2 linked regions of the Oryctolagus cuniculus genome follow. The protein of the gene in region 1 purifies or fractionates together with the protein of each later gene. This does not show direct contact. Links are inferred from orthologs where the notes say so. Each region holds a gene or a part of one and is shown on either strand. Other genes may lie near its edges. The genes, in order: SAE1 and SUMO3.

Region 1 (3,797 bases):
CTTTCAGGCTCTGCTGTGGAAGTCCTCTGCTCCAGTCCCCTCTATTGTTCTGGTTGAATTTCATTGAATTTAAAAGTTCATTTTTACGAAAGATTTACTTACATTATTTGAAAGAGTTACATTGAGAGGGGGAGAAACATTATCTTCCACCTGATGGTTTACTCCCTACGTGACTGCATTGGCCAGAGCTGGGCAGGCCGAAGCCAGGAGCCTGGAACTCCACTGGGGTCTTCCACTTGGGTGGCAGGGGCCAATCTTCCCCTGTGTTCTTTTTTTTTTTTTTTTTTTTTTTTTTTTTTTTTGACAGACAGAGTGGACAGTGAGAGAGAGAGACAGAGAGGAAGGTCTTCCTTTGCCGTTGGTTCACCCTCCAATGGCCGCCGCAGCTGGTGCACTGCAGCCGGCGCATCGCGCTAATCTGAAGCCAGGAGCCAGGTGCTTATCCTGGTCTCCCATGGGGTGCAGGGCCCAAGCACTTGGGCCATTCTCCACTGCCCTCCTGGGCCACAGCAGAGAGCTGGCCTGGAAGAGGGGCAACCGGGACAGAATCCGGCGCCCCGACCGGGACTAGAACCCGTTGTGCCGGCGCCGCAAGGCAGAGGATTAGCCTAGTGAGCCACAGCACCGGCCTTCCCCTATGTTCTTAGCAGGGAGCTATATCGGAAGTGGAGCAGCCATAACTTGAACTGGCACTCATATGGGATGCCGGTATCCTAGCCAGTAGCTTAACTCACTGTGCCATGGTGTTGGCCCCTAAAGTTCATTTTAAGCATTCTCAATTGTGTCTGAATTTTGTACTAGTATGGGTTTTTTTTTGTGTTTTTTTTTTTGTTTGTTTGTTTGTTTTTTTGACAGGCAGAGTAGAGAGTGAGAGAGAGAGAGACAGAGAGAAGGGTCTTCCTTTTGCCGTTGGTTCACCTTCCAATGGCCTCCGTGGCTGGCGCGCTGTGGCCGGCGCACCGCGCTGATCCGATGGCAGGAACCAGGTGCTTCCTCCTGGTCTCCCATGGGGTGTGGAGCCCAAGGACTTGGGCCATCCTCCACTGTACTCCCGGGCCACAGCAGAGAGCTGGCCTGGAAGAGGGGCAACTGGGACAGAATCCGGAGCCCCGACCGGGACTAGAACCCGGTGTGCTGGCGCCGCTAGATGGAGGATTAGCCTAGTGAGCCGTGGTGCCGGCCAGTATGGTTTTTTTTTTTTTTTTTTTAATTATTTTTTATTTACTTGAAAGACACAGAGATCTCTGATCTACTGGCTTACTCCCCAAATGCCCACAGCTGGGACTGGGCCAGGCGGAACCCAGTTTGGAACTTAGTCTGGGTTTCTCATGTGGGTGGCAGGTACTTGAGTACTTGAGCAATCACCGGCTCCTCCCAGGGTGCACATTAGCTGCAAGCTGGAATTGAAAGCGGAGGCAGGACTCAAATCCAGGCGCACTCATGTGGGACGCAGGTGTCCCCAGGGGTGTCCTCACCACTGTGCCTTGCACGAGTCAGGTTGTAAACTGCATGAGACAGGGACCACACTTAGCGTTGGGCACATGTAAGGGTTTAGTTTGTTAGCAGTTATCAATGTGAGAAGGAATGCATGGACTTTCTTGTTTTTCTCTATAAACACAAGGGGGTGCTCTTTAACCACCAATGCCCAGAAAAAAAGTTAAAAGTCAAACATCTGTTTCCAATTTTATTTTTATTTTTAAAAGATTTTTTATTTATTTGAAAAGCAGAGTTACAGAGAGAGAGAACTTCTATCCACTGCTTCATTCCCCAAATGGCTGCAACCGCCAGGGCTGGGCCAGGCTGAAGCCAGGAGCCAGGAGCTTCCTCTGGTTCTCCCACATGGGTGCAGGGGCCCAAGCGCTTGGGCCACCTTCCACTGCTTCCCCGGGTGCATTAGCAGGGAGCCTGATCGGAAGTGGAGCAGGCCGTAGCTTTACCCAGTATCCCACAACGCTGTCCCCCAAATGTCCTGTTTTAAATAGCCTTTTCTCAGAAGGAGGACTGAGAATAGGCAGTCTGCATTGGGCATATTGCTGCAGGAACTGTTAACCAATTAGATGGTAAGTGTTCTAGCCAACCTTCAAAATTAAAAAAGCTCATTGTCTTTGGAGCATATTTCCCAGAAAAAAATCAAAGGTTTAAGAAAAAAAAAATTATTTCTAGGTATCTCCAGAGGATCCTGGAGCACAGTTCCTGATCCGGACCGGGTCTGTTGGTCGGAACCGGGCCGAAGCCTCCTTGGAGCGTGCCCAGAACCTCAACCCCATGGTGGACGTGAAGGTGGACACTGAGGAGATAGAGAAGAAGCCGGAGTCGTTCTTCACGCAGTTTGATGCTGTGAGTTTCGCGGTGGAAGATCTGCAGAGAAATGAATAGTGGAGCATTCGCATCTCCCCATCTCAGATGAGCTTTTCCCCAAGTGCATTTTTTTTTTCTTTTTCTTTTTCTGACAGGCAGAGTTACAGAGAGACAGAGAGCAAGGTCTTCCTTTTTCTGTTGGTTCACCCACCAAGTGGCTGCTACGGCCGGCACGCTGCGGCAATCCAAAGGCAGGAGCCAGGTGCTTCTCCTGGTCTCCCATGGGGTGCAGGACCCAAGTACTTGGGCCATCCTCCACTGCACTCCTGGGCCACAGCAGAGAGCTGGCCTGGAAGAGGGCAACTGGGACAGAATCCGGTGCCCCAACCGGGACTAGAACCCAGTGTGCCAGCGCTGCAGGCGGAGGATTAGCCTAGTGAGCCGCAGCGCTGGCCCCAAGTGCATCTTTAGGCTGCTTAGTTCTCTCGGCTCAGTATGGCACATGGATGGCTGCGAGGTAGGGCCAGTCTGCTGGACCTGCTGTAGCCGCTTGTGACGTGCTGTCTGCTGGCTTCCTTTCTGTGCATATGGCCCCCAGAGCAGGTTTCCATATTGCTGTTTTGTCTCCCTTCCAGAATCTTTGCACATAGCTGTGATACATTTTATTGCAAATGTTTTCTCCCTCATACTTCCCAATCTGGTGATTAATTTCGATGGTAGAGACATACTTTTGGCTAGAAATATCAAACTACAGCTGTGTTTTGTCTTGAGAAAGAGCACACCTGATCTTGGTGTACCTGCGTCTGCCTGTCTTTCTTATGTAGAAATGTAGAACTGAGCCAAATGAGGCAAATCCTCACTTGGGTTCACCACCAGATCTGTGCAGAGGTGAAAAAGGTGAGCTGAATTTTATGGCAGTACTGGGCACCTATCCTGGAAAAGCTTCACAAATCTTGGATAACTGTGAAATAATCATGGTGAGTGCCTTTTTTTAAAATGACAGGCCTGTTACATGAGAGAGTAGAAGTTGAGTTGGGTGGTTTGTACTTCACAGATTTTGCACCCACATCTGTTCACTTGCAGTGTGGACGGATGCATTGTCTGTGTGTTTGTCCTTTTCTTTCTTCCCAATCTCTTTTACTTTGTAACTTTGTGTACTAGGACCCTTTCTACCTGGACACGTGTCCTCATTGCCTTACCCGTAGCAGCCACATTAGGTTTACTCTAGGTGTCCCTTGAACTTAGAGAATCGGAAGAGAGGTTGTTAGACTGGAAGCACGTGGCCTGTTGGTTGAGTAATACTGACTGCTTCATGGGCCCCTGGTTGGGGTGGTCCTCAGCCATGTTTCTGTCACTTTGGACTGGACTCCACAGGGAGTTGTTGGGTCCGCTGGTTGCGTGTTCACCTGTGGCTTTCTTACCTTCTCCCTGTGACTCTTCTCGGGCGGCTGCATCCTCTAAAACACCAGAGGAGAACATATCTCTGTGTTTCTTCGGTG
Region 2 (4,399 bases), on another chromosome or scaffold:
CGACCCATGAGCTGGTGAGACGAACGCTAGCCACCAGAAACGGCCGTTCTGACTGACCACAGGGGGGTGCTGCTGAGGCGGCTCGCTGTTTGGGAAACTGGGGGAGATCCATCATTTTCTCGCCGTTGCTAAACGAGCTGGCAAAGCACACTGCTGACGGGCAGAAGTAAGGCGAGGAGCGACGCGGGACCTGCCCGGCAGTGCATCGGAAGGCACCGGCCCCAGAGGGCGTCTCAGCAGAAGGGCCCGCCCGCGGTGAGCGCCACCTGTCCGTTTACAGGGGCACCGGGACGAGACCCCTGGGCAAGGCAGCCGGGGGGCGCCGCACCTGCCCCAGAGGGCGTCTCAGCAGAAGGGCCCGCCACGGTGAGCGCCACCTGTCCGTTTACAGGGCCACCGGGACGAGACCCCTGGGCAAGGCCCCTGGGCAAGGCAGCCGGGGGGCGCCGCACCTGCCGCTCGCAGTAGGCCTTCATCAGCTTGCTCAGTGGGGTGTGCCTCTTGATCTTGAACTGCACCACGGAGCCGTCCTGCCCGGCCACCTTCAGGTTGATGTGGTCATTCTCGGTCTTCACGCCCTCCTGCAGGGACAGGAAACACCTCTAAGGATCCGGCGCTCTCCAGGAGCTGAGGGGCGCCGGGCTTCACTGACGTCATGGCCACCACCTAACCGGCGCCTCCGTCCAGGCCCCTCCAGCAGGCGGCTGCTTTGTTTTGGCACAGAACGGACTTTCACCCCCAGCCGCTGGGCGTCCCGGGGGAGCAGCACGCCCGAGCCTGCAGGGCCCAGGAGAAGTCGGAAAACCCATCTTCGTTTGAAAGTCACTTTTACAAAACTAACAGAACCACACACTGCACGCAGCTGTGCGTGACTTCAGAGAAGCAGAAGGCAGTGTTGACAGGAGGGAGGGAAGCTGCGGTCCACGCGGCAGCGGCCAGGAGGGCCATGCGGCCCGGGCAGGTGCGGACACGTGCGTGGGGCTGCCAGCTCCCGGCCCCAGCCCCGCCGTTGCAGGCATCTGGGATACGCACAGGGCCGACGGGAGACCCTCTCTCTGTGTCTCTGACTCTCAAGTAAACACACTTTAAAATCTTTTTTTTTTTTTTTTTGACAGGCAGAGTGGACAGTGAGAGACAGAGAGAAAAAAATCTTTTTTTAAAAGAGGAAAAGAAGTCCTAAAACCAATTGCCCCAATTCATTGTGGTCAGTATTCTGGGGGGCAGAAATGGTTTTCCCATCTGACCACAAGGCTGCCTCCCCGCACGCCCACGCCCCACGGCCAGAGCAGAGCTGGCGTCCACCGGCAAGTTTATGCCATGGGCGAGGACCTGGGCCGGGGGGCCCTGCCCTGGGCACACGTTAGAGGCTGTGGCCAGATGCCGGCTTTCCTCCCTCACCCAAGCAGGGCCCGGCCAGGGGCTGGGCTCCAGCCTCCTCCCTCACCTGTGAAGGGGGCTGCTCACCTCTGACCCCAGCTGCAGCAGGAGCCCCAGGTCCCCAGCACGGAGCCCCAGGTCCCCAGCACGTGCTCAGAGACCGGAGCTTCCGCCTCCACCTACCCAAGGACTGCCGGCCTGACCCAGGGCAGCCCTCGGGGCGGGACAGGAAGGGGCCCACCCCAGGCCGGGACGATGGGAGCACCCTGGGACCTAGAGGGAGAGGGGGAGCACCCTGGGGCTGTGACGGGGAGGGGTGCACCCTGGGACCTAGAGGGAGAGGGGGAGCACCCCGGGACCGTGACGGGGAGGGGGAGCACCCTGGGGCTGTGACGGGGACGGGGAGCACCCTGGGGCTGTGACAGGGAGGGGGCGCACCCCAGGGCGGCGACGGGGAGTGGGAGCACCCTGGGACTGTGACAGGGAGGTGGGCGCACCCTGGGACCTAGAGGGAGAGGGGGAGCACCCTGGGGCTGTGACGGGGAGTGGGAGCACCCTGGGACTGTGACAGGGAGGTGGGCACACCCTGGGACCTAGAGGGAGAGGGGGCGCACCCCGGGGCCATGACGGGGAGGGGGAGCACCCTGGGGCTATGACGGGGAGGGGGAGCACCCTGGGGCTGTGACGGGGAAGGGCCGCACCCCGGGGCCGCGCTGGGAGACGGCAGCACATCCGGGGTCGCAGCGGGCTACCGACCCCGGCTACTCCCACTCTCTCAGGAGAGGGGCCACCGCGCGGGAAAACCTGGACGGAGGACGGGGCCACGCGAACACGCCCTCGAGGACGCGCGCCAGGGGGCGCACAGCGGGGGCGGGGCCAGGAGGCGGGGCTTGGAGCGGGGCTCGGGAGAGACGCTGTCAGGGCGGGGCTTCTCGGGGCGGGGCTATGACGTAAGAGGCCCGAGACCAGAAAGGGGGCGGGTCTCCGGGAGAGACCTATTGGGGGCGGGGCTAGGACGGGACGGGGCTAGGACTAGAGGGGCTCGAAACCGGCAAGGGGCGGGGCTCGAGAAGCGGAAGGGGGCGGGCTCGGGGAGGAGCTCCGACGGGTGCAGAGCAGGGGCGGGGCTCCGGGACAGACGCTGTCGGGGCGGGGCGAGGACGGGGCGGGGCGCGCCGCGGAGCCCGCGGTGGGGGAGGGGCGCGGAGGCCCGTGGGGGAGGGGCGGGCGTGCGGCGTGGGCCCGGGCGCGGGGCTCGTGGGCGCCGTGGCCACGGCGGGTGGGGACGGGGCCTGCCAGGAGCGGAGGCGCGGGTGCCCCGGGGCGGCGGGCGGCGGGCGGGCCGCGGCTTACCTTGGGCTTCTCCTCGGACATGGCTGCGCGCGGTCGCGGTCGCGGCGGCGGCGGCAGCAGCAGCGCGAGCGGGGCAGTCGCTCTCCGGGCCGCCGCTCTCCCGCCGCAACTGCCCTCGGGGCCGCGCTTTATCCCTCAAATCCCGGCGCGCCGGTTGGCCGGGGGAGGTCACGTGGCGGGCGCGCGTGCACGAGGCGCGCGCCCTGGGGCGTCGGGCGCGCGCCCGGGCGGGCCGCGGTTCCCGGCGGTTGGAAGTGCGTCACGGGGCGGGTCCCCGCGCGACCCCGCAGTCTGGGCGCCCGGGGGCGCGCGTGGGACCCGGGGCCGCAGGCTGTCGCGGGTGCCCGGCCCCGGGGACGCGCAGGGAGTGCACGGCTGGGGGAGCCCAGGGCCCGGGATCGGGCTTGGGGGCGGGGACGTGAGGGCCAGGCCTGGGCTCCGGAGTGGCTGCGCTGACGTGGGCAGGGTCAGGGTCCAGTTCGGGCCTCGGGGCCCTGGAGCCACCTGCAAGTCCCCTTGGGAACCCCCCGCCCGCGCGCGGCCCCAGGCCTCTGAGCTGTGCAGGCCGAGGCCAGGCCACGCACCCCCCACTTCTGCGGGGCTGCATTTCTCTAGGGGGTAAAGGAAAGGCGGTGGGGGGGGCTCGGGAGAGGCCCTTCCCCGACTGGAGGGGACCTGTGTCCTCTGTCCACATCACGCAGGCTTCTGCAGACAGGGCTGGGGTCACCAGGTCCTCTCCTCCCGGCCACTTCCCTGGCCGGCGCCTCCTCTGGGGCGTCCACTCTCCACCATGGGGAGCCCCCTCCCGGTGGTTTGGCTGACTTCTAGAATGCTGTCCACACCTAGTCCTCGCAACAACCCATTCACGTATGAGAAAACCGAGGCGGTGGGAGGTGAAACCACAGGCCGGGTGTCACCACGGGTGGGAGCTCGAGCACCTGGCCGCGTGGCCCATGCAAGATGGGGGCCCACGGAACCGCGGAAGGCACGCCCACCCCCGACCTTAATCACCTCGGATGGAGGGGCCGGTGGGCGGCACCAGGATGAGCCGCAGCCCAAGGCTCGGAACCGTTTCCATCCTGCCTGAGCAGGCCAGCAGACAGGTGCCACTCACCTCCTGGTAACGCTGCGGAGCCGCAGGGCATCTCCCAAGCCCCCTTCCACCCTCAAACGTCTGGGCAGGGCCACCATTAAGAGCAAAGGTTACTGGGGCTGGGGCTGGGGCTGGGGCTGGGGCTGAGCCTCCGCCTGCAGCGCCGGCATCTGTGGGCGCCTTCAGTTTCCAGCGGCCGCTCTTCCGATCCAGCTCCCTGCTGTGGCCTGGGACAGCAGCAGCAGGCCCAAGTCCTTGGGGCCCTGCGGCCATGTGGGAGGCCGGAAGAAGCTCCAGGACCCTGGCTTCGGATCGGTGCAGCTTCGGCCGTTGCGGAGAGAAGCAGCAGATGGAAGACTTCTCTCTGTCTGCAATAAATAAGTAAAATCAGAGAGAAAAAGACTGCTGAAGTCTGGCCGTGAGAGGTGCGCCCAGACCCAGCTTCCCAGCCCACAGGCTCCGGGTAGGGCTTGGTCTCTTCTGGCGCCCGGCCCCCTGCTGCCATGGTGGACGGTGTCCAGAGACCAACAGCACAGCCTGCGCTAGAGACGCCATGACCTGTGGACGATCACATGT

The links.
Region 2: the proteins of SAE1 (region 1) and SUMO3 purify together in Homo sapiens (affinity purification with mass spectrometry; 3 studies listed by BioGRID and IntAct, with this or other methods). This does not show direct contact. The link is inferred for Oryctolagus cuniculus from reciprocal best matches to the Homo sapiens genes SAE1 and SUMO3.

Annotation. Positions count from the first base shown.
Region 1 is NC_091449.1:10,355,052-10,358,848, reverse strand, and holds part of SAE1 (SUMO-activating enzyme subunit 1), read left to right. Parts: intron 1-2,163; coding exon 2,164-2,337; intron 2,338-3,797. UniProt on the Homo sapiens protein: The heterodimer acts as an E1 ligase for SUMO1, SUMO2, SUMO3, and probably SUMO4. It mediates ATP-dependent activation of SUMO proteins followed by formation of a thioester bond between a SUMO protein and a conserved active site cysteine residue on UBA2/SAE2.
Region 2 is NC_091435.1:1,757,099-1,761,497, reverse strand, and holds the start of SUMO3 (small ubiquitin-related modifier 3), read right to left. Parts: upstream 2,914-4,399; 5' UTR 2,752-2,913; coding exon 2,731-2,751; intron 582-2,730; coding exon 453-581; intron 1-452. UniProt on the Homo sapiens protein: Ubiquitin-like protein which can be covalently attached to target lysines either as a monomer or as a lysine-linked polymer. Does not seem to be involved in protein degradation and may function as an antagonist of ubiquitin in the degradation process.